Linked DNA regions of Solanum lycopersicum. The main gene of each other region encodes a partner of the protein of the gene in region 2 in a complex. Links are inferred from orthologs where the notes say so. Each region holds a gene or a part of one and is shown on either strand. Other genes may lie near its edges.

What was found.
Region 1: coenzyme F420 hydrogenase_dehydrogenase beta subunit-like (region 2) and chlorophyll(ide) b reductase NOL, chloroplastic share a complex: the UniProt entries of both Arabidopsis thaliana proteins name them as parts of the SGR1-CCE-LHCII complex. The link is inferred for Solanum lycopersicum from reciprocal best matches to the Arabidopsis thaliana genes HCAR and NOL.
Region 3: coenzyme F420 hydrogenase_dehydrogenase beta subunit-like (region 2) and probable chlorophyll(ide) b reductase NYC1, chloroplastic share a complex: the UniProt entries of both Arabidopsis thaliana proteins name them as parts of the SGR1-CCE-LHCII complex. The link is inferred for Solanum lycopersicum from reciprocal best matches to the Arabidopsis thaliana genes HCAR and NYC1.
Region 4: coenzyme F420 hydrogenase_dehydrogenase beta subunit-like (region 2) and red chlorophyll catabolite reductase, chloroplastic share a complex: the UniProt entries of both Arabidopsis thaliana proteins name them as parts of the SGR1-CCE-LHCII complex. The link is inferred for Solanum lycopersicum from reciprocal best matches to the Arabidopsis thaliana genes HCAR and ACD2.

The regions. Positions count from the first base shown.
Region 1 is NC_090804.1:48,919,212-48,924,761, reverse strand, and holds part of chlorophyll(ide) b reductase NOL, chloroplastic, read right to left. Parts: intron 3,954-5,550; coding exon 3,892-3,953; intron 3,074-3,891; coding exon 2,975-3,073; intron 1-2,974. UniProt on the Arabidopsis thaliana protein: Required for chlorophyll b degradation. Chlorophyll b, chlorophyllide b, pheophorbide b and pheophytin b can be used as substrates. Belongs to the chlorophyll catabolic enzymes (CCEs).
Region 2 is NC_090808.1:67,935,350-67,941,577, forward strand, and holds the start of coenzyme F420 hydrogenase_dehydrogenase beta subunit-like, read right to left. Parts: upstream 3,641-6,228; 5' UTR 3,618-3,640; coding exon 3,542-3,617; intron 3,394-3,541; coding exon 3,291-3,393; intron 2,097-3,290; coding exon 2,012-2,096; intron 1,780-2,011; exon of another isoform or gene 1,661-1,779; intron 711-1,660; coding exon 599-710; intron 456-598; coding exon 371-455; intron 214-370; coding exon 172-213; intron 71-171; coding exon 1-70. UniProt on the Arabidopsis thaliana protein: Probable iron-sulfur flavoprotein that converts 7-hydroxymethyl chlorophyll a to chlorophyll a using ferredoxin as a reducing equivalent. Catalyzes the reduction of a hydroxymethyl group to a methyl group. Belongs to the chlorophyll catabolic enzymes (CCEs).
Region 3 is NC_090806.1:26,308,016-26,314,126, reverse strand, and holds the start of probable chlorophyll(ide) b reductase NYC1, chloroplastic, read right to left. Parts: upstream 4,243-6,111; 5' UTR 3,778-4,242; coding exon 3,508-3,777; intron 3,433-3,507; coding exon 3,354-3,432; intron 3,275-3,353; coding exon 3,139-3,274; intron 3,076-3,138; coding exon 3,001-3,075; intron 2,929-3,000; coding exon 2,733-2,928; intron 2,344-2,732; coding exon 2,275-2,343; intron 1,708-2,274; coding exon 1,568-1,707; intron 1,435-1,567; coding exon 1,312-1,434; intron 370-1,311; coding exon 177-369; intron 1-176. UniProt on the Arabidopsis thaliana protein: Involved in chlorophyll b degradation. Belongs to the chlorophyll catabolic enzymes (CCEs).
Region 4 is NC_090802.1:10,422,878-10,428,972, reverse strand, and holds red chlorophyll catabolite reductase, chloroplastic, read right to left. Parts: upstream 4,251-6,095; 5' UTR 4,184-4,250; coding exon 3,851-4,183; intron 1,356-3,850; coding exon 744-1,355; 3' UTR 598-743; downstream 1-597. UniProt on the Arabidopsis thaliana protein: Catalyzes the key reaction of chlorophyll catabolism, porphyrin macrocycle cleavage of pheophorbide a (pheide a) to a primary fluorescent catabolite (pFCC).

The DNA.
Region 1 (5,550 bases), on a different chromosome or scaffold from region 2:
GGCTGCCATGTCATAATGTAACCCCATTTCAAGAAATAAAGCCATCAACAGCCTCTCTACCTCCAACCTCCAACCTCCACGAGGAAGTGGTAAGATTTATGTACATTCTACCGTCCCCCAACCTCACTTGTGAAATTTCACTGGGTATATTGTTGTTTTAAAAATAATGTCTATTTAACACATGTACCTTATACCCATTTAACCCACTCTAAGAAATGAGTCTACTTAAATGACATGAGAATAATCTAAACCCAGAACATCACTCAACACCCACAAACTTGGGCTCAAGTAACTTCACCTAATACACAAAGTAACAACTACAGATTCAACACAAAGTATAATATATCAAAATTAAATGTTATGGACCTTTATAATTATAGGCACCAACTGATAAGTAGTAATTAAAATGGTAACAAACATGTTAGAATAAGTTACATATTACACTGATAACATAATGTTAAAAAATCAGAATGTTGTGTACACATAACTTCAATGCAGAAAATATAAGACAACATACTCCCTTGCTTCTACTTAACCATTCTCTTTTGTTCCAAACCCTCATCTCCATTCCTTTAGCCTTCAGTCTATTCTCCAAAATCTCCCTACTCTTCAAAAAACAACACAAAGTTGGTGGACATGTATGATAGAGAAACGCAGGATTTCATGAACATGGAATCCTTCTCCTAAATTTTCGTAATTCGTCCAGCACCAATAAAAGACAAAGCCATTAGGATTTTTGGCAAAGAACTAGATGGTGCTCATGACTACACCGCTGCAAAGGGACCTGTTATAAAGAAAATTTAACAGGGCTGTCAAATTATCTTTGCATGTGTACAGTAATGTCGAATGATTTAGTTGAGTGAAATTTTCTTGAACTCAAGTTCATGGGTGTTGATTGATGTTCTAGGTTTACAAGATAATTTTCGTGTCATTTAAGCAGATCCATTTGTTAGGGTCAGGTTTTAATGATGATTTAATGTATGCAGGAATATTATGGAAAGTCTAAGCTATTAATTACTGAAGATTTTCAAGGACTTAATCAAAGGCAGATCTTAGATGACTTCCAAGGAAAGAAGCAAGACTCACGGAGATCACATGGAAGCAGTATCAAGTACTAATCAAGACCCAGTGAAATTACAGAAGTGGCAAAAGAGATATTTGGAAGATTAGTAAAAATAATACAACAGCAGCCTCTTGGATGAGTTGTCCCTTATTGTTGGAAAGGAAATCAATTTCCCTTATCAAGGATCAAATCCTTAGGGTTGCCCTCTCTGCTAATGAAACAACAGTCCTCATATAATCAATCATTGAAGACCAAAGACTAACATACGTTTGTATAAAGCCTCCTCAAAGTGCATTGTTCTACTCTTAACAAGCATTGTAATTCTTAAATGGTTTACTGTGTAATCAAAACAGAGAAGAGAGGAAAAATATAGTTGGTGAGGCATTGTGTCAAGAGAAAAAAAGATCGAGTGTAGACGTAGGATTAAACCTTGAGGGACTTGTACTCATCAACTATTCAAAGTACTTGCATAGAAAATCCCTTGCAACCCAAGGGGACTGGACTAAAATCCACATTGGATCCCAACCGGTATAAAAATACCCAGTGTCATTTACTTATTGTTTTATAACTTGCGTCATCATTTAATTGCCAGTCATTACAGTTGAAGCTTTATTTTAAGAGGGAACCTCTCAGACAAGGCCTCCCTACTCCAATGGGAAGTACTTCTCACACTAGAAGGTCAGAATGGGAACCTACATCAAGTCATATGGTGTAATGGTCTGGAGGGTGATCAAATTGGGAGACATTCCCATACCTACAACTAAGAGTGATGATAAGGAATCTGGAAGCAAGGAAAAAACAACAGAAATTGAAGGAGCAATTGATCTATCAAAATTGGTGGACAAAAATAATACATGACTGGAAATTATTCAGGTATAATCTTAAGAAAATATTTACTATATAATGCAATCAGTGGTGAAGAATATCAAAAGATCACAAGTGGTGAAACTGCTAAAGAAATATGGGATAAGCTAGAAGTGACCTATGAAGGAAATGGCAAGTCAAGCAGACTATAGTCAGCCTTCTACTTTATGAGTATTATTCCAAATAAATGAAGGAGAGACTAATGAGGAATGTTCTCCCGACTGAGTAAACTCATTGGGGAACTAAAAGCCTATGGAAAAACCTATCCTACTTGTTAAATTAGGCCTTGGACCTAGCCCTCACCCCAAAAGCTAGCTTAAAGGGAGGAGAAGGATTGTCTAAGCATTATAAGGAGTACACAAATCTCATTAACCACCATATAAAACTTTTTTCATCTTTAACACTCACCTCATGCCCAGTGCTTAACATCTGGTGCGTGGGCAACTTTTAATTTTAGAGGCTCAACATAGGGTGAGATGGGTCTTGCTCTGATACCAAGTTAAATTAGATGTTGGGTCCTACCTCACAACCCAAAAGCTAGCTCAAACGGAGGACGATTACTCAAACCTTATCAAGAGTACACCCTTCTCATTAAGCACCAATGTGTAACTTTTGACATTCTTTAACACTACTATTAATCACATAAGGATTAAGGAAGGTACGCAGAAGCCTACCTCCTCAACGACATGCCAAAGATGTTGCTTTGGGAAGCATTAACCTCAAACAATACCCCTTGTGATGAACTAAGAGGAGATTTGATAATTGAATGACTTTGTTGTCCCAAAAGAATAAGTAACTTTCGTAGGTCATTTCCATAAGTTGGGTGAGGAATTAACTCTAATATTTATTATGACTTTGCAGCAGTTCAAACAACTAAATTTATGGATTAAGTACCAACAATAATTCTTGAACAAGCAGTGACATGAAAGGATAAAAAGAGAACATTTACAATCAAATCAGAAAGGGAACTGGACTTCTGATACAAAGAACATTGAGAGTGTTTGTGACCTTATCATCTTAAGCAAATTAAGGATCCAGATTAGATACCCATATGTCGATGTATTGAAGCTTTTCCTTCGCAAAGGCAACTAAGTTCTTCACGTCATCTCCCTCTCTAACATCACACTTGGTGCCCTGCATAGGGATCTGAATCAAGCATGTGAAGACAAAAATAATGCTTAAGCTAATCATGTAAAAGAAAGGCCATAACACCTGCAAGGGCCAGTAAGTATATTTACAGACCCTTGGTTTACTTTAAAGACATAATAATATATAATTCTAAACTACATATTAGGCAGAATATGGCACATCTTCAGCTTACCAAGGACATGACTTTAGATAGGAGGATATGGAGATCATGGATAGACGGTATGTAGGTATAGCTGGGAGTTGTCTTATTACTAGCCCATTCATGTATTTTTCTGGGTGGAAGTGTAGAGCTCCGTGCTGGTCGTAGTATTAGCATATTCATTAAGTCTTCGGTTTTTGGTATCCGAGATCATCTGTGGTTTACTGTGTTTAGGTAACTGCAGCTTGTTATTATTATGGCTCCTTGCATTGATATGCTCCAACTGCTTTGATATTAACTGTCAGTTTTTTTTTATAGTTAGTGTTTTATTTGCTTGAACCAAAGGTCTTACAGAAACAGTCTCTACCATGGAGAGTTAGTGGTAAGGCCTGCGTACACTCTACCCTCCCCAAACCCCACTTCTGGTATTTCACTGAGTTTGTTGTTGTTGTTGGTTTTTACTTTACAACCTTCCTTTCAATAGAACATGATTCAGGAAATCAAAAGTTCAAGTCAATCGGTAGGCATGAAGCCCAAAGTTATGTTAGTCATTAGCGAAATAAAATACTCATCAATCACCATAGAACCTGATTGAAGACGAAACTAGTGATGAGTACACAGAAAGAATCAAAGAATGACTAAAGGTCTATAAGAAATGAAGTGAAAATGGAGGTACCCACACATGCTGCTTCCCTGTTTCAACTCTTAACCTGTCGAGAGCAGATACAACTCTTTCATCTGTCAAAAAAAATGGTCAACTCTAAAGATGTAATTACATTTAATTCTAAACTACATATTCCAAAGAAAGTTGTTTCTTTTCCATTCAAGTGTAGGGAGATGAAGAGCTAACATAAAGAGAGTGTGAGCTTTAAAGCAATAAAATAAAAAAGAGAATGAGAATACATCCCCATGAGTTACAAGATAACGAATGGAAAAGAGAAAATATCACTGTATCAAGGTACCATGCAAAATCATCAGTCTTATGTTATTGCAATTATGGTTAGTTCAGGACCCGGATAAGACTCATCAAGGTAGGAGAGCAGCAATTATTGATATATGACTCCATAGAGATCAAACTAGATCATGAATATGCCATCCCTCCCAATCTTCCATTCAAACTTCAGCAGATCTCCTCCTTTCCTTTGTTTTCTAACTTCAGCAAACTCTGCTCCTTTCAACCCATATTATCTCCAATTAAGTAGCAAGATTCCCATTATCTCTATTCTAATAAACTGCATCCATTGCTTTCACTACTTCCTTAATTTGCATGTATGGCACTTAATGTCTCTAGAGATCACTAACCCAATGCCTGCAACTTTTTTTTTCTTCCCACAAGCTGTAGCTTCTTAGCTTTCGTTCCAAAAGTGACCACGGTCATCCTTAACAGAAGTGGATACAAACTACTCAAAAGTAAAATTTCTCCAACTACTCTGTTTACCCCTTATGTGAGCGTCTATGTTGCTCGGACTCTTCAAAAATGTCAATGGGTGCGTGTCGGATTCGCCAAAAGTAGTGTATTTTTGGAGAATCCAAGACGGGAGCGGCACCAAAAGTGGAGAGTCCGCGCAACTAAGGCGAGCGTGCAGGTACAAATTCACGAAGGCCAAATACAAATATTGGTTTCCGATCTTCTTCTTCTTCTATTTGATGGGAAGGAAAACTACAACAAGCTAATTAAAATAATAACCATAGAGCAGTGCAAACTTTCAACAACATGATCCCAGCATCCAAGTTATTCTGACTACTGAGCCTATTACAATTTCATTTTCTTTCTTATAGTATTGTGGCAACCAAAAGGAACTAACTATGAAGTAGTTAGTGTTCATCTGTTGCGCATCATATCTCTTGCTTGGTGAATAAGGAGAATAATGAAATATCTTTCATTGCCATAGTACACTCGAGTTTGATAACTGTAGCAATTGGACATCACACACCTACATCATATGATTTCCTTGATTTTTTTTACAATACGGTGGTGTATGAATCGTTTAATGTGCCTTGACTATTCCACTGAATACTTGCTAACTCCAATCAGCATAGGTATTCAGTAATCTGTCCATCAAGCCTTAAGCAGATGGGAAGTAATCACCTTTACCCTCCGTTTCATTTTATGTGTCTTAATTTGACTAAGCACAAAGTTCAGAAAATAAGAGAGACTTTTATATTTTGTGGTCTTAAACTAAACATGTATCCCAACTCCTCCTATATCATCATGACTCTCGAACTATGGTACACCACTAATGGCACATCGATTCCCATGATCCCACCATATATTCTGCATATTTCATTTTTACACAATTGACTACCTTTTTCACAAACTATAAAATAAAACAAA
Region 2 (6,228 bases):
GGCAAGAGTATTTAGATTAGGAGACAGTGTCGGCTTAACACCTTTAGCTGCTATAACTTCCTCTGGAGTCCTATTAGAAACATAAAATTAAAGTTGAAGATCGAAATGGTTAAATTAACAGGTAAAAAATCAACATGAATACAAATAGCTCAGGAATTCCCAGTCACAAACCTTGCCAGGACAGGTCGAGGAGCAAATCGATCTTCTGGATCACTAAACAACATAAAAAAAAGAAGGTAAAGAGTCCATGAATTGCTGGGTAATAAGTAGAAGAAAGAAACCAAAATTTCAAGTGCATAACTCATGTACAGTGAAATTAACCAGGAGGGAGAACTAAATTATTTTTAACCAAATTGGATGCAAGCCATACCTCTGAACACAAATAACAGCTTCCACCATCCCAGCTTTTAGCATCTCCACGGCAATAGTTGTCACTATCCCCGTCCATTGAGCTCCTGAATGCCAGAAAGAAAAAGATAGGAATATGACCAGATGATTCATAGAAATTGGCACATTCTTTTAGTGATCTAGAGAGCACAAGAAAACAAGCAACAGTAAATTGAACTAGAATACTACATAAGAGCATCCAAAGTTGTACCTTCCACAGGCTTAGTTTTACGAGCATACAATAGATTCTCATACACCCCCATATAAATCTCATCCAAGGAATCTTCTTTCCGTCCTCGTCCATGGACAATAGGTTCCAAAGCCTAAAGAAGATGATAAGGAACAGTCAACATCATCTGGTCACTTTACCATAAGAAATACTATCTGTACTTTGAGCTACTTCATATAAATTTGACCAAAAGAGAAGGTCCTAATAGCATAGCATGACTGAGTTGAGAACGCATTCCAAGGAACTGCTACTCGTAGCAAGCACTGAAGTTTTTTAGTGAGTAATCAAATCATTCTTTCTCATAAAAGAACTTACATGCACCCCCTGTCACCCTCCACCCACCAGTCAAACTAAAGACGGAATAATTTTCAAACTTTACCAAGTTCCTTTGGACAATAACCAAAAAAAAAAAAAAATTGTATAGAATTGGGGAAAAAAGTTTGACCTGTCACGAGATTACGTTGTACCTGTAAACTATGCTAAGCTGTATGAAATTATTAAACAGAAGGTAGAAAAAACAAAGAAAAGAGAAAAGAGAAGAGGACAGATGTACACCATAGCGAAGACTTTGATGGAGGTCTATGAATGTTTTCCCATCGCCCTATGAGGAGTCTGATTAGAGTCCGACCATACTGTGTTTCAGTATAACATTATCAACCCCATAAATTTCAGTATGTCGAGATTATGTTAACAACTAGAGAAATCATTCTTATGAAGATCCACTATACGTGTCTTGTACCTTGTGTAATTTATAGCTCTATAATAATGCCTAAAACTTCATTTATTCCATATCTTGTCAACATTCAAAGCAGCATACCTTTTACCCAAGAGAGTGAAACAGAAATATAAAATTCAAACATGCTTGTCAAAAGAACTAGTTGGGGTCGGAGGCGAGGACCAGTGAACCCATCAAGTTCTAGTATGCAACTTTTCCTAATAACAAAGTGTTAAAAACTCTCATGCTCCCAACAGAAGGGATTTTAATGGAAGTGGAGTGACCAAAGAAAGATGAATTCAATTGCACACGAGCTAATAGTGGATTACACGGTCTCAGAGAACATGAACCAGTACTCTCTCTGAGCATCTTTCTAGCTTGCAAACTTTTCTTATGACTTCCACAACACACTGCAATATCACAGCCAAGTCTTGTTTCACTGCATACACTGTACATATTCATAAGATGTAAATCCATATGGATGAGATAGCTTTTCAAAGGACACAAAAGACAAAACAAAATTCACAGGGAAAATCTGCATGTGACAATGAAAGCATGCAATAATCAAACTCCAGTAGGTCATTTATGACAAACTTAAGGAACAAAAACTAGGCATAAACAATAAGAACTGCAACTAAAAGCAACAGTATCTACATGTACTAAAGTAGAGAAAGACTCACTTCAACTCTAGACATGCCATCCCCCAAGAAAGCACATGCATTATTCACATGAGCAATGTAGTAAGTGTCACACAAACCACAGTGGCTGCAAACCAGAAACAAAAACTACCATCAGACAAAAAACTACTATAATGATTACGAAATAGTCACAAAATATACAAGAAATTAATTTAAATAAGTATGAAGATGAGTGATTAAATGATACTAACTTATAATCCTCAAAAACATTGAATTAGTATATAAATAATGTTAATTATTATTTACCAATTTCAAAAAAAATGCTAATTAATATATATGATATTCTTGTGAACGTCAAAACTTATATTTCAGTCTTCCAAACAATACTTCATCATTCAAGCTCCTTTTTTTTCCATTCTACAAAATTTGACCCAACTTAGGACGAATTGATATGGAAAGCTACGATGCTTCAAAGACCCAATGAAATGCTTCCTCCATTTCAAATTGAATACTTCAGGTTCTTTTTTATACTTCATGCCAAATTAATGCCCAATCTCCCTCATATTTATAGTTCTTTCACATTTACTATGAAAATTGAACCATTATAGTTTCCGAAAAGGGAGAACTCTTCAAACACATATTAGTTTAAGACACTCTCTCCGTCCGGTATTGTTTGTCATGGTGTCTATTCATAGAGTCAAACTATAAAAACTTTGACTAACATTTTAAGGTGTATTTTTTCATCGTATTAATATGCAAAAAATTGCAATTTATAGTACTTTTCATATAGTTTTAAAATATCTAATTATTTTGTTTAAAATATCGAATTAATGTGATTTAATTTAACTTTGAAAATTAGTCAAATTGACTTTCAAAAAACACAACATGACAAACAATATTGGACGGAGAGGGAGTGATTCATAAATAGACACCTTAACTTTGCTTAACTAACAACTAAATACTCCAACTTTAAGAATGCACATCTAGACGGTCTCCGAGACACCCGGCACTATATGTCTAGATGATCATTTTGTACGTTGGGAGTGTTTAACTCACACAGCCAAGACCAGTTAAGATGCACACTTTGAGTGTTCAGTTGCCAATTGAGCCCAACCTAAGATATCTATCTATGTATTTATGTCATAGTTTAAAGATAACAAATAAAAATAACAACTTTTTCACTAGTCTAACTTACAAAAACTAAAAACTTCAAAAAAAAAATACATAGAAAAATGATCAAGCTACGCAATTTACCTCCCATTACAGCATTAAAAGCTAAAATTTCAATTATATTAAGAAAAAAAAAAGCAGAATTATGAACCTGCAGTGGTCTTTAGCTGGATAAGTCCCACCAGGAGGAATAGGTCGAGATTTTTTCCTCCAATCTTCTCTAATTTTCACTGATTTCAGGTTTTGGTTTGCATCTGTTGAGTAATTCAAACAACATCAACACACAAAGTTTCAATTTTTTTTAAAAAAAAAACTCATAGCAAAAGTTTGTCATTTTTTGTAAAAAAAAGTTCCTCTAAGAGGATTTTGTTCAGTGAATGTAGAAATGGAGAGAAACAAAACCTTGTTGTTGTGAAGAAGATGAAACAGTGTAAAATTTGAAGGGTAAAGTAGAGATTTTTCCAGTAAGAAACGCCATTGTTGCTCTGTGTATCTGCACAAGTGTTTTGCGCCACAAATATATATCAAATGAGATTCTTTTAAGGGTGGAACCAAAACGGTGTCGTCCGGTATTTAATTAATTTCTACTTTTTATTTTTTTGGATGAGTAAAAAAAGTGAAATATTAAATATTTAGAAAATTAAGAAATAATTTTAATTATTTATAAACAATGAATCGCTGAAAGTGATTCGAACGAATCCTTTTGGTCCTACCTAGCTTTGCTCCTGAATAAGTACTCGATAACATATTGTGTTGAAATTTTGATGAGATAAACAACACATACCATATCATTTCACTGAAGTAAAATCATATAGTCGTTCATATGAATACTCAAAATAGGGTGGCTTTTAATTTTTGTTCGTCGGATCAATAGTCTTTGAAAATACAATCGTAAGGCATATGTTATGTCATACAAAACTTATGCCTCTGTAGACATAAGTTCAATTTCAAAACATTATACCTTAAAAAGTTCATAAAGTCACAAATTATATCTTATAAGGTATAGACGTAAGTCCTACATAACATGTCGATGGGAGTATAAGTTCCATTTTCAAAACTTGGAAGATTAAACCTAGAGAAGTTCATTACTCGCTATATCTTATAAATCATAAGTCCCGTTTACAAAACCAGCAAAATTGAGAAGTTCATGAGTCACTATATCGGAAAAAAAGTGGTGGTTTAATTGGAGCAGCCCATCAGGCATTAATGGAACTTGGAAGGCACCGATAACGATATAAATCATAAGTCCCGTTTACAAAACCAGCAAAATTGAGAAGTTCATGAGTCACTATATCGGAAAAAAAGTGGTGGTTTAATTGGAGCAGCCCATCAGGCATTAATGGAACTTGGAAGGCACCGGTCCGTTATCCTTCCACTGCACAAAGCGGAAGTTTTTCGTTGCTCTGTGAAACCAGCCTCACGCGGTCCACCCCACTTTAGGAATCTAGTAGCCCATTCTTTCAATTGGACCACATGATCCAACTCTGTGCTTGGATAGGGCAGGCCAGAAATTAGCCCACCAAGCCCAGCCATCTGGGACAGCCCAATATTCCACCACCTTAACATCCCCACTTGGGTTACAAGCCCACGTTACTAAGCTCGACATACAATATTGCATCATAGATTATTATAAAAATAAAAAGAAATATGTCCACTAACGATGTGGGAATTGGAATATTGCTTGTTCTCTATAAACAAAGCATATACTATTTTGAAAATATAAAGTTTGATTTTATCATTAATATATTTTGATTTATTAGTTTGTTGTGTTACTTGATTTAATTAGTACTAGATATTTGTTTGTTTCTTGCCTTTTTTGTTCTCATTAATAATTTTGCTTCACTCTAACTTGCATTTAGGAACTGGATAGTAAATCAAGGCCACGTCTTCGATTGAGAATAAGTGAAAATTCTCGAGAAGAGTAACATCTACGTAGTTAGTATTTGGGAAATTAAATGGGTGAAAACCAAGATAAAAGATATAAACGAATTTAAATTATGATACACGTGAAGCTCAAGCAAATATGAATATGGAGTAAATATTTTTAGATTTATTGTGGTAATTATTTCCTTGAGAAGCATTTTCATAAAGTAGTAATTTACTCGTTGGTTGCCACATTTGGGTACATGAAATATTTACTCAAAACATTAACATCTCTTAGATATAAGTTGTTTTTCTATGGAAGAAAAGATATCGTCGAAATTAGAATTCTCACTAGGGAGATTCAAAATACATTCGAATGAAAAAATGGTTTTATAGACCAAAAAGTGGAGCAGCCCATCTGACGATTCTGGGACTCGGAAGGCATCGACGTGCTATCCTTCCAACGCTTAGAGCAGGAACTATTCGTTGCTCTGTGAAACCAACCTCACGCAGTCCGTTCCGCTTTAGGAAATAGCAGCCCACTCCTTCGATTGGACCACAAGGCCCAACTCTGTACTTCGATAGGGCAGGCCAGATATAAGCCCAACCATTTGGATGACCAGCCCAACATTCCACCACACTAATGCCCCCACTTGGGTTACAAGCCCATGTTATTGAGCCCAGCAAGCAGTGTTGCTTCATAAAATAATAAAAACAAAGGAAGATTACTATACAATGACAATGTGCCACATTGTTGTCATAAATATAAAATCTAAATATATTTCTAAGAAAAATCAAAACATACAATTAATACTTAATTTTGCTTTATAACTAATATGTAAAGAAATGAAATATATTGGAGTGATAAGTGTAAGTTTTATAAAGTGGATATTTGATTAGCTAATGTTGTATGAAAAGAAGTGTTGATCAGTATCAAATTTGTACGTTCAAAAGCTGAAAGTAACAGAAATTAGTATGCTGAGATGGATGTATGAACGAGCATACTAAGAAAGATAAAATTAGAAATGCAGATATTCTAGACAAAAGGGGAGTGAAGAGAAGGCGTAAGATATTGACTTGTGGGGAGTCTCAAGAAAGATAGAGATAGGCCGAAAAAGTTACCGGAGAGAGATGATTGACACACCTAGACTCCTATAGTTTATTGAATAAATAATCTAGAAAAGAGAATATGAAGAGGAAGGTCAGTACGTAATCAAGCATTGTCT
Region 3 (6,111 bases), on a different chromosome or scaffold from region 2:
TGCTTTTATCAATAGTGAAATACTGACTAACATAACACGATGTACTCCATGAGAAATTAGTACACAAGCTTAGTTATACGGTATAACTTATACCGTATTGACAGAAAAAATCATAAAGCACTAGATTGTGGCAACACAGAAAACCCCACATGCATCTATTACATGTAATAGGTTACCTGATCATCAAACCATCGGCCCCGTCTCAACCATGCGGTTACTAAGGCAATTAAGATCCTTGGTGGAGTCAAATAATTGATGGCTCTTCCACTTCCTTTTACAACCCGCATCCTTGGCACTAGTGTTCTAGCAACTGTCTCTGGATGTTCGCAAATGATGTTAAACATCTGCCTATTTTGGATAGTTGATCCACTGCAGGAGAGTCTCATTATTAATAAACTGAACTATAAAATGATTTGATATGGTAAGAATGAAAACCCAAAAGAAAAGTATAAAGTTCTAAACAGTTTTAATAGTTAAAACAAAGAAAGCCTAATTATGTAGATGAGTATCATTATTAACCTTCTCCATGCGGCAAAATTAGCCGAAGAAAACATAACCTGCCCATGTTTCAATGGGCTATTGACCCGACCATTTATTAGCACAACCAACCAATTTCAGCCCAATTTCTATTGCATTGATATGTAGCATAAATTGACTCATGAGCAATCTTGTCAACATATTTTCAAAAAGACTCTTTCTAAATTTGATATGTTATGTATAGTCGTAATAAAGGAAAACTAGTTTTATAAAGTCCAAAAAAAGAAACAATTTTAAAGAACAAACAAAGCATTAAAACTTAATAAGAATTGGATTGGTTGGATACCCGCATTTTGACCCATTTCAGTCCAATCCATAGCAAGTAACATTTTGGGTGGGTCAATAACCCACCCATTTATTAACTCAAGCCATTTTGACCCACTCAAATTCAGCCAAAACCACCCATTATATGTAATTGTAGGCATTGGAGATCGAGTATAAAAGGGAGATCACTAAATTAGGCTCCAGTTTTACCATTATGGAAGGATTAGAAGAAGTGATCACAATTGATTACTATAACAAAAAAAGAAGTTGAAATTTTCATCCTTCCTTGCACACCAGAAAAGAGAATTATATAAGAGGTAAGAATCTCTGTTCTAACATTACTGTAGTCTTTATGTACCGCTGAATGGTGTGGATAACTAGTCCTCCTTGGTAGCACTACCAGAAATAATACCAAACCGGACAGAGTTATCCTTCTACAGCAATACATTGTCCATGAAAGCAACGCAAAAGACATTTAAGTGCAAAGATCCGATGATCCTCTTCACATACCTCAGAAGTAGGTCGGTTAGGACCATGCCTGGAGACGCCGTATGCACTCCAACTTTTGACCGCTTGCACTCCTTCAGTAGGGATGATTGAAGCTGCCTGAGACCACATTTTGTAGACCCATAGCTGCAGAACAGTAAAGATGATAACACCGAAATCAATATCCATTAGAAAAGTATTAGATGAATAAATGGTAAAGATCTGCTATTTACAATAGATAACCTAGCATTCCAAGTTACAACCACAACAATCAACTTACACAGCTGTTAGAGGGGTGCTAGATCCTCCAGAACCTGCACCATCCATATTAAAGACATGTCCACCTTCGCTTTGGGTTTTCATGATTTGGATGGCTTCTTTAGTGCATAGTATAGAACCAATCAGGTTTGTTGAGACAATCTGTATAAAAAAATTTGGTAAGCAACAGACCAGAAATACTTACTAGAATATTAGCTTACCCATCATGCAAGTACACACAGCAGATAGTTGATTATTATATGCACATGGAGTGTTAACTTGAAAAGGTCAACAAGCATGAACACCTTGCTATGCATGACGAAACGGGGAAATTTTCAAGTAGTAGTTAAAAGAAGGCATTAGTACATATTGATGGATAATTCCAGGAAAACGGAAAGTTAAAATGAGTGACCTGGTATATAAAGTATACAAACTACATATAGGTGTTGGGGGGACGGGGAAAATAATTTGTTAACAAAGTTCTGCAACTGAACAGTTAGAAAACCCACAGTGCATACACCACCCACCCTTCCACAAGAGAGGGGGGAAAACAACAAAAGCAGCTCTTACTTGACAATTTAATATACCCCACCCTAATACCGACCCACCCCCGATCCATCTTCTATTATATATGCAGCCTTGAAAGCAATTATTTTGCAAGAGTTTAGAAATGGAAGAAGTTGTAGAGTATCAACATAAACATATGAGAACTGTCAACAACATGGATACCTCTTGAATATCATTGTCGGTGAACTCCAGCAAGGGTCGAAAGCCTTTGTTTGTCCCAGCATTGTTTACCTATATAAAAGACAACCTTTAGAAGCATGAAAACAGAACAACAAACCAGGAAAGAGGCTGTTTTTCCTCACAAGTCCTCTGGATGTGGATGACTGTATTTTCTACTCACAACCCTGTAGTTCTTGTCATATGTTGTGTATTGTATTTTGATTATCCTACTGTTATTGTTTTTCTCTTGACACTTCCAATATTTTCTCTCCTTTTACTTGGGTTTAATGCTCTTGAGTCTAGGGTCTTCTCGAGACAGTCTCTCTACCTCCTCGAGGTAGTGGTAAAGTCCAAGTCTGTGTACACTCACTCTACCCTCCCAAACCCCACTTTGTAGGATTTGACGGGGTATATTGTTGTTGTGGTGGTCTTTTGCTATGAAGAAAAAGAAAATTACTCACCCAAATGTCAATATAACCAAGTTCATCTGCAGCAAACTTGCCCAGTTCTTTAACATCAACAGGTTCAGAGACGTCACAAGCCATACCAACCAGTTTTGCATGTGCCAACTTTAGTCTAGCAGAGCCGGTGGCAGCATTGACAGCTTCCTTCAGATTTTCCTCAAGCTCCTCGATAGTCAAACGGACAGATGCCGGGCTGTGTTAAGGAATGATGTATTTACAAGAGATGCTAAACAAAATAAGTGGATGCAAATAATCAATTAATTACCTGCGGGAGGTAACAATGACCCGATCTCCAGAAAGTAAGAATTCGCGGGCAAGAGCTTTCCCTAGTCCCCTTGTACTGCACCAAAAAATAATTAAAATGGTAATTACAAACAATGAAGGTATGAGTAAAGTATTATACCTTCCAGTTATAAGGACATTACGGGGGCCAGCTCGAGCAACATCATCCAAAACTAAATTGGATCCTATCATAGTGCCGATAATAATTCCTCCAAGCCAGCTGTACCATATCAATTCATTCATCTGGCTATCTCCACCTGTAACAATTAGAATTAGTTGTTACCAATCAATCCATGCCTTAAAAACTTTCAAAAGATGATAAATGAATTTGCTAACCTGACAACTGAAACCCAACGAACATGACAACACCTGTGCTCATCATTGTTATAATATATCTTCCAACATATAAAGCCAACTGCAAGATTGGAATACAAATTTAACTTTTTCCCATTCTCAATTGATGTTAAAGATGTGTAAGAAACATATGTACCCAGAATAATCTCTCTTCCAACATCTCCATAGCTTCTCTAAGCTTATTTTCAGTTCTCAAACTTGGCTTTGAACAACTCCATACAGCAGACCTAATAGCTCCAACCAACTTGTTCACCTTCACATACTCAGCATCATCAGACTTAAAGCTCCTGCAAGGTTGTACAAAAACTCTACGTCGTCCATGAACCTTCACAATCGAAGGCCGGAAAACATTACTGCTCGGTAGTAGGTGGTGCGTTGACACGTGTACCTTCGCCACCATGTCCATTTATTATTTTAATAAAAATAAAAAAGAAAAATGGTGCACTTTTTGTTTTGTTTTACAAAGATCTATATGAATTTTATATATATGCAAGGAAAGAGATATAAATATCCAAATTTTTAGGGATTTGGATTGTGTGACTTGAAATTTTCTCGGATCTAGTCTACTACAAAAAGAAAATATCTAAGGAGTTGGAAGGAATTTGATTTTTGAAAGATCAAAGGGAAACCAAGTTGATGACCACACGTTAAAGCTACTCTTTATCTACACGTTTCATCTGCTACGTGTCATTGTAGGTCCGCATATATATTACCGTCAACATTATCTCCTTCTCCCACTTGTGTTTCAAAAATAATCAAAACTTCAATTCTAATGTGTTTAACAAAAATCAAATACGCAAGTGAATTGTCTATTTGAGTTTATTCATGAATTCTGTATGTATATTTCTAAGATAATATGATCCATTGTGGTAGCTATGTACCTACTTGTTTGGGCATTTAACATTATCACATTTTGAGTGATTTTTCAACACTGTTTGGTTATGGTATAACTTGTCTCTTGTTCATGTATAAAATAATGTATTAAGTTATGCAATATTTAGTAGAAATTCTTGTTTAGGTAGAAAAGTCAACATAACTTATATCATGTTTGGTTGCATTTTTGTAGTTTTATATAATTTATATCAACATAACTTATGAGGGAATCTATGTATAAAGTTATGTAAGGTAGAAAGTAAAATAAGTTATGCGGGTATTATTTATACATGTATTAAAGTGACAAATTACATATTTACCCTATTAATTTATTTTATTGTTTATAATTAGAAATTTTATTGTATTCCTATATTGTTATTGTAACTACCCGCTAGGTCGTTTTGAGAAGTAGGACTAGTTTGGCTCCTTTTGAAAATTTAAAGGGTTATTTTTAAGCTTTTAGATAACTATGAGTACCTAATTGATGAAACTTTTATTAAATAAATAATTAGATAATAGATTAGTGGAGTTTCACGATTAATAATTTCTTATTTAGAAGAAAAGAAAAAACGAAAAGTAAGGAGGCGAAACCTTATCACAGGCTACCAGCGAGAGGGAGAAAATCACAGCCATTGTTCAGGTAAAGATATGAGATATTCGTTCTTTTCAATTCTATATATAGTAATATATTGTCGGAGTGTTTGGGATTGTATTATTATTCTATGCTATATTGATAATGGGAGAATTGGTGGAGATGTGGAAAAAAAAACCAATCTTCTGCCAATGGAGGCATTCGCGATGTGTATGTTGTTAGCACTGCTCACGTTTCTTCGGAATCCTGCCAAGAAGTTAAGGCAGTGATCAATTTCTTGAAACCAGAGGTTGTCTTCTTGGAGTTATGCTCAGGTCGGGTGGGTATACTCACACCTCAGAATTTAAAGGTACCAACAATGGGGGAATGCTTTAATTGGCATGCAGAACAAATAGCACAAAAAAACGGGAAAAGGGGAGGGGCGTTCCACTTCTGCCAATGGGTGGAAATTTTGTTCACGTGTATTCATATATTAAAATGCTAGTTTTTAATATATTGGGACTGGTAATTAATTATTAGGTGTTATTTTATATGATCTAACATTGAGTTTTAGTCCATTTGAAGAGGTTAGAGTTAAGTTCTTGGCTTGAAATTTAGCAAGTGTGAAAAAAAATTGGCATACCAATATATATCAAGATTTGGAGTTTGTTGAAAATATGTGTGAGTTTTAGCGTCTATGATAGACATATAATAATTTGAATGTCTACAAAAAAATTGCTTACTTACGAATATTGAAAAATTGGTAGATTGGGAACGTTCCGAAACCTTGCGAAAAGGAAAGGAAAAATCTTAAAAGATTCGTGGCACAAGCTCGGCATCTAAGGTATGTTAAGACTTTTTAGACTTGTTGAAGGACGTTTTCCTAATTAAAGATTAAAAATGAAAATAGACAATGGAGTAAGGGGGAAAAAGTGGTGGTCTCGTATCAATGGTGTGACGGGCATTGGTACGAGTACCGGTGTTATAAAAAGGAAAATTTCTATTATAGAATGTGGATTAAAATTTGAGAATGCCAAAGCATATGGGCATTAGCTGATATATTATTGACTTGAATTCCTTGTGTGATTGTGCTTTATTTATTTCACCCGTATAGTTGTGATAATTGAGGTGGTTATGTATTATGTTCATATTGATTGATTGAGATGCATCATCATCCCCTCTTTTGAAATAATATTGTGCACATGCATAGACATGAGACTGAGTATAAGTTGGGCACGTGGAGATCGTCCGTGCTGGGGATGGTGAGATGTTAAGATTGTAATTTGGGCACATGGA
Region 4 (6,095 bases), on a different chromosome or scaffold from region 2:
TTTTTGTTTGTGAGAATAATAAATTTTAAAAAGTAATGAAACGATTGTAAATTTTATTTATATATAAATAAATAGTCAGTAAATATAAATGTGGGATTGTTTTAACAAAATATAAACTTATGAATTAATTTTTGTATTTAAACATCTCAAATCATGATATGGAATTTCCATATCATGATTTTTGAAGAATTTGAGATTCTATTTCATGATACGTAATAATGAGATGAAATCAACATGAAATCACATATTTAAACGCTGATTTCATCTCACGATTCCATATCATGATATGGTATCGCATGACAAAATACCTGCTAAGAAAACCACTAATTCTCACAACTTCATATTTTATCCCAACTTAGAAATGTTTATAATGCTTTGTCAAACTTAAGTATTCTTTTCTTTTTTTGGGCCTAAATCCTCTTCCATCCAATTGGAAAAATGGTCTATTTCTCCCTTCATAGTCCACTTCATTGTAAATGATTGTCTTAAATTACTTGTCAATTTTATCAAATCAAAATAAAATTAATTAAAATTCTCTCTAATGCCGTAATGCGTGTTTGATTCCAGTTCTAGATCTGTTAAAGTGAATATAACCCCTTTACAAAGTGGCATATGATATAACACCTTGGTAAAATACATATTGTTATTCTCAATATACATCTTTTTAAATGTATTATATGTTGAAGAATTATAATGATTACATACAATTATCACACTATCAAACAGCAGCAGGACCAAGAAATTCAACTGTTATAGATTTCCCTTAGTACTCCTAAAACCTGGTTAGCTACTTGTTGCCCGAAAAGCCTAGGGAAGCTTGATTCAAGATCTATCTCGATAGTCTTATTCTTAATTATTTGATCCCTCTTAGCCAGATCTTTACTTTCATCATCTGTCAATCTTCTCTCAGTACAAGCACACAGATTCAACCATGTATCCAGCATTACCTTAGCAACAGGACTTATGTGATCCTGAATAATTTCATCAATGCGAATGGCCTGGGAAGGATCGGTTTCTATCGAAACCAAGATAGCTGATGGAGAGACAAGGGCACGAATATATAGAGAAGAAGAGAAATAAGGCTTTACCTCAGGTAGCTTCTCGAGAAGTTGTCTCTGCTTATCTAATTGTGTTTCCTCATAAAAGGTCTTGAGGTAATCGGGATGTTGGACAAGGTCCTTTCGCGGAGGTAGATCAAGAATGAGGATGAGAGTTGTTGGACTGCTTTGAATAACTTCAATTAAGAAGTTTGGTGCATCAGTTGAAGGTCTCAAATATACGGAAAGGCTTGTAATATTCAATGCTCCGCCGGTGGGTAAGTTGCAGTGAACCCAACTACCAAGTATGAAATCAACCTGTCACAATTTAGAATAGGCAAAAATATTAACCTTGCTTATACTCCTGATGAGAAAGTTGAAATCGTTAACTGTGTGTTCCCAGTTCATCTTTTATTATAGGCATTAGAAAAAGAACACTAAATGGACTTGTCAAAGAACTCTCAATGGAATGACTAACTATAAGCGGAGGAATGGAACTGGATAAGAATAAATGAACAGAAGCCAGATCCAAATTGCTATCTCCCTGATGCTTTTGCAGTCCTTATGTATAACTCCCCAAGAAGACATCAGGTGAATGCAACTTGCAGAGAACTACAAATTATGAACAAGGATAATTCTTGAAATCGAGCAGTTACATTGGTTGGTCAATTTTGGATGCACACTCTCTTAGCTTCTCTCTATGAAGATCTATTGATCTTTTCAGCAAACACCAATTGTGCATCGGAACCCACCTAAAACACTAGTTATACATTCAATCCATACTCATCTCAACCAACTGCAGTCTCTCCTACACCGACAACTCAGTAAAACGCACCCGCTCTCCTACAACCCCCAATGGTTAGTTTGAACCAATCCAGCCGAAAAATCCCAAACACACAATAATCAACTCCTTCTAGCACCAACAACCACAACACCAATAAACATCATCCCCTATTTCTTCCAATCCTTCAGAGGAACAACACATGGACAATAATAAACTCCTAAAGCTTGCCCCTAACAGTTCACCAGAACCTCCAACTTGCTATTAACACTCAGCCTACTCTTTTGCAGATCACGCATGCAACACCTCAACAGGAAAATACTACCCATTCAAAATCCACCCACCAAAATCATTTAACCCCTCAGCCAAAGGTGTCCTCAGATTTCACACACCCTCTTCAAAATTGAAATCGGATGACGCGACCAACATCAATGGAACTGATCATAACCCTGTTGCCACTGATAAATCAGAACCCCAATATTCAACTCCAACAGAAACATCCCAATTTAGCAGGGAAAGGTAAAAGGGTGCTACTTCATCGAAACCAACCTTCACAGAAAGGTTCAAGCTGATTTGCCAATGCCTCAATCGCCGAAGCTCCTGTTGAAATTAGGCATGAGACTCATCTCGGAAAGCCAACCATATATTTCTCTGCTGATGACTATTTCGTGAATTTGGCTAATAATTGCAAATGACTATTGTGGGTAAATTTATCAAAGGAACCTACTATGAAAGAACTAAGGAAAATTTTTGTGAGTCAATTTCAATTGAAAGGAAGAGTCGAGATTGGGTACTACAACTACAACACTATTTACATTGACTTTCTGTAACAAAACAGACTTCAATAACATTTTTTCAAGTCATTCATTCACATTGGGTCGGTCATACACTATGAAATCCTGAGATGTGCACAGAATTTTAAACCAGAGCAAGAAACTTCTATTGTTCCAGATTGGATACTAGTTCACAACTTACCTCAGCACCTATTCAGATGGGAAACTCAGTGCCGCCAGATATTGAAGTTGGGAATGGTAATGGTGAGAAGGTGAGATTGCAGATCATATGAATTTTCCCCCTACAGCTCCTGAAGCTAGGGAATGGGGAACAAGCAGAGATCAAACTACTTTGACAAGATCACAGAAAAACTAGTTGAGATGTATTTCACAGAACAAACTGCAAACTATTAAAATATTAGTGGGAGTTTGCAGCACATTCACGAATTTTGTTTGTTATATATTTTTTAATTGTAACGAATGGATTGTTATTTACTAGAAAGTGCAAGATATATAGCTTGAACAAGAAATACTCAATTTGAAATTAGCTCAAAGGAAACAGATTTGATAAAAATCTTGTCTGACTTCATTGGGTGAATAAAACCAAAAATACATTTGCTGATCTTCTTAACTCCCATCACCACATTATACAGATAAGTATTTGGCATTTCAATTCATGTTACTTCTATTAAAAGAATTAGCATACATAGTAAAAAGGACAATCTACAAAAAGCACAATGCGTAATGGATTAACTCTTCTGCATAAGCCAAATCCACTAAAATAAGATGACAAGATCTAGCTTTCTCAATCATTATTCTATAGTACATAATAATTTTCTTGTTTTCTTTATCAACTTCACTATGTACAAGATAGTAGTGTATTCATTCATATTGAAGGGCATTAGGAGAAAATTCTTGGCGTTTTTTTTTTGGTTGCATACTTTATGCATGCTCAAGCCTTGAAGCAAGGCTTACACATGTTGACCACTTCGCTTAATGTGCACTTCAGTGTCGTCATTAAGTCCCAAGACAAACTTTTCCTTGAAAATAAGGGTTCTAAACTATTGGTATCACACTTTATTATTATGAAAATCAATTTCTTTGTCCATAGATTTGTTATTCACCCTGTATATACTAATTCAACAAAACATCCAACAGGAAGTAATTCTATATCATACTACATATAATTGACACAACTGCAAAAACGAATGAATAGGTAATAAATAGTAGAATCAATTGAGGAGGTAGTCGGAGAGTACCTGAGAAGAGGAATTTCCAGATCTGACATAGAGAGAAGCATGAGCAGTAGCAGATTCATTCTCAAAATACTGCACATGAGAAGGCAGAGTACAAGGAAGTAGAGACTCTCCAAGACGATTCTCCACAGTCGATACAAGTTCCACCATTAACTCTCTATGCGGAACAGATGCATAAGGAAATTCCTTAAATTTCGATTCATGATGTTCCATGGAAGTTGATGACGACGAGCAACAGAAGCGTTTTCCGACGGAAAAAGAACGAGAGGAAGAAGAGGGGAGTGATTGTGTGAGAATTGAAGTGTGAAATTTGGCAGAGGAGAGTGGAACAGCCATAGCAGGAGGACTGTCATGTTCACTGCTATCTCTTTGCTTTTTGGGAAGCAAACGAACATCACGTGCTGTGGCCCATGTAATACGCTGTCGTTTGTATTTTTAAAAATCAGAATTTTGAATTAGGATTTAAAATACAAAAATTTGATTAAACATATCTTAAACATGGTTATTTTAATCAAATTTTTGTATTTTAAATCCTAATTCAAAATTCTGATTTTTAAAAATACAATATATATATATATATATACCAGTCATTTATTTCATATGTAAATAAAATTTATAATTTCTATCATGATTTTTTAAACGGTTTGTATCTCATATAATGATTGTTCTCGCAATATGAATTTATTTTGACTTTAAATTAATGCATTTCTTAATTTATCAATTATATCTATGAAAATTATTATATTTTATCAAATTTATAACTATAGTTTTAAAAAACTTGAATTGGTCCATAATATAAAAAGGAACTTTGCATATATTCACTCAAAAATAGCCTAATTATGCTTCATAGTTATAATTTGTTAATTACAATTCGTAGCTATATGTTATAGAGAAAGAGAGTGACGAGAGAGATTGAGAGAGGGATAAGAGATACGAGCGAGAGAGTGAGAGGTGAATTACACATGTATATCAGGTAGATAATTGTGTATTATACATATGTATTTCTATATATGGCAAGCGAGATTGAGAGAGGAGGGAGAGAGATGAGCGAGATTGAGAGATGGAGGAGAGAGGGTAGAAATGGGATAGAGGTAAATTGTGTATGTATATTGGTTAGATAATTGAATATTATTCATATAGGTTTTGTATATATGACAAGTAAGATTGGGAGAAGGAGGAGAGAAGCGAGCTAGGTTGTGAGAGGGAGGAGAGAGACGAGCAAGATTGGGAGAGAGAGGAGAGAATCAAGCGAGATCGGGAGAGGGAGGAGAGAGGCAAGTGAGAGAGGGCAATAATTTGTATATTCGCATCTCGTTTGTATAATTCGTGGGTACCTTTGTATAATTCCGTGTTTTTGCATGATTGAGCAATATTAAGTTTAAAATTATACAAATATGAAAAAAAACACCTCAAAATAACGAATTGATATAAATATACATTTATTGACTTTAAATAGTTACATTAAATAAATTATATTATAAAAAAAAAGTGCACGTTTATACAAACTTTTGAAAGCTATACACAAAAAGATTGAATATATAAAGTGACAAAACTGAGAAACCAAAGGAAATTATCTCATATGCAAATACAAATCATCGTATAGAAATATAAATCAAACAAAGAATTGTTAGTTGTGAATTATACGAATGTGGATAATTATACAAACGTGACTAATTATACAACTCGAAGTCAGCCCACATAATTAATGGTTAATGTTAGTCGCATGTGGTAATTATAGCAAACTATAACTATAATGAGTAATTAAGCTGTATAAGTTTGCTTAATCGCATAATTTTTCGTAAAATATAGATAACATGGGATAAATCCAAATACCATGCAAACCTAAAGGAGCCAAATGGCCCATATATAAGGCGACTCAAATCCTTGGTGGCCTAAGGCCAAAATTAAACTAGAGGCCTTAATTTTTTTAAAAAAATTATATATGTTTTTATTTTAAATCTATTTTTCTAGTTTTTCTTAGATGCAAAGTTGTTAAAAAAATTTTGTGTAGTCAATCTATTCTAGTAATTATTTTTCAATCGATAATATAGTCAATCCACTTAATTATTTTTAGACATTGTTGATCTTATATAAGATTTTATTGTTTTAAATTTTGAAAAACTTCTTTCTATTGAGACAACTGTTGCAGGATTTGTTCAAATGATTTTATAAGCAATATAAGCATTTGGAAAAGAATCAAGTCTTTTTATTTGATTGAGTATCTCGTTTAGAATATTGTCTTTTATTT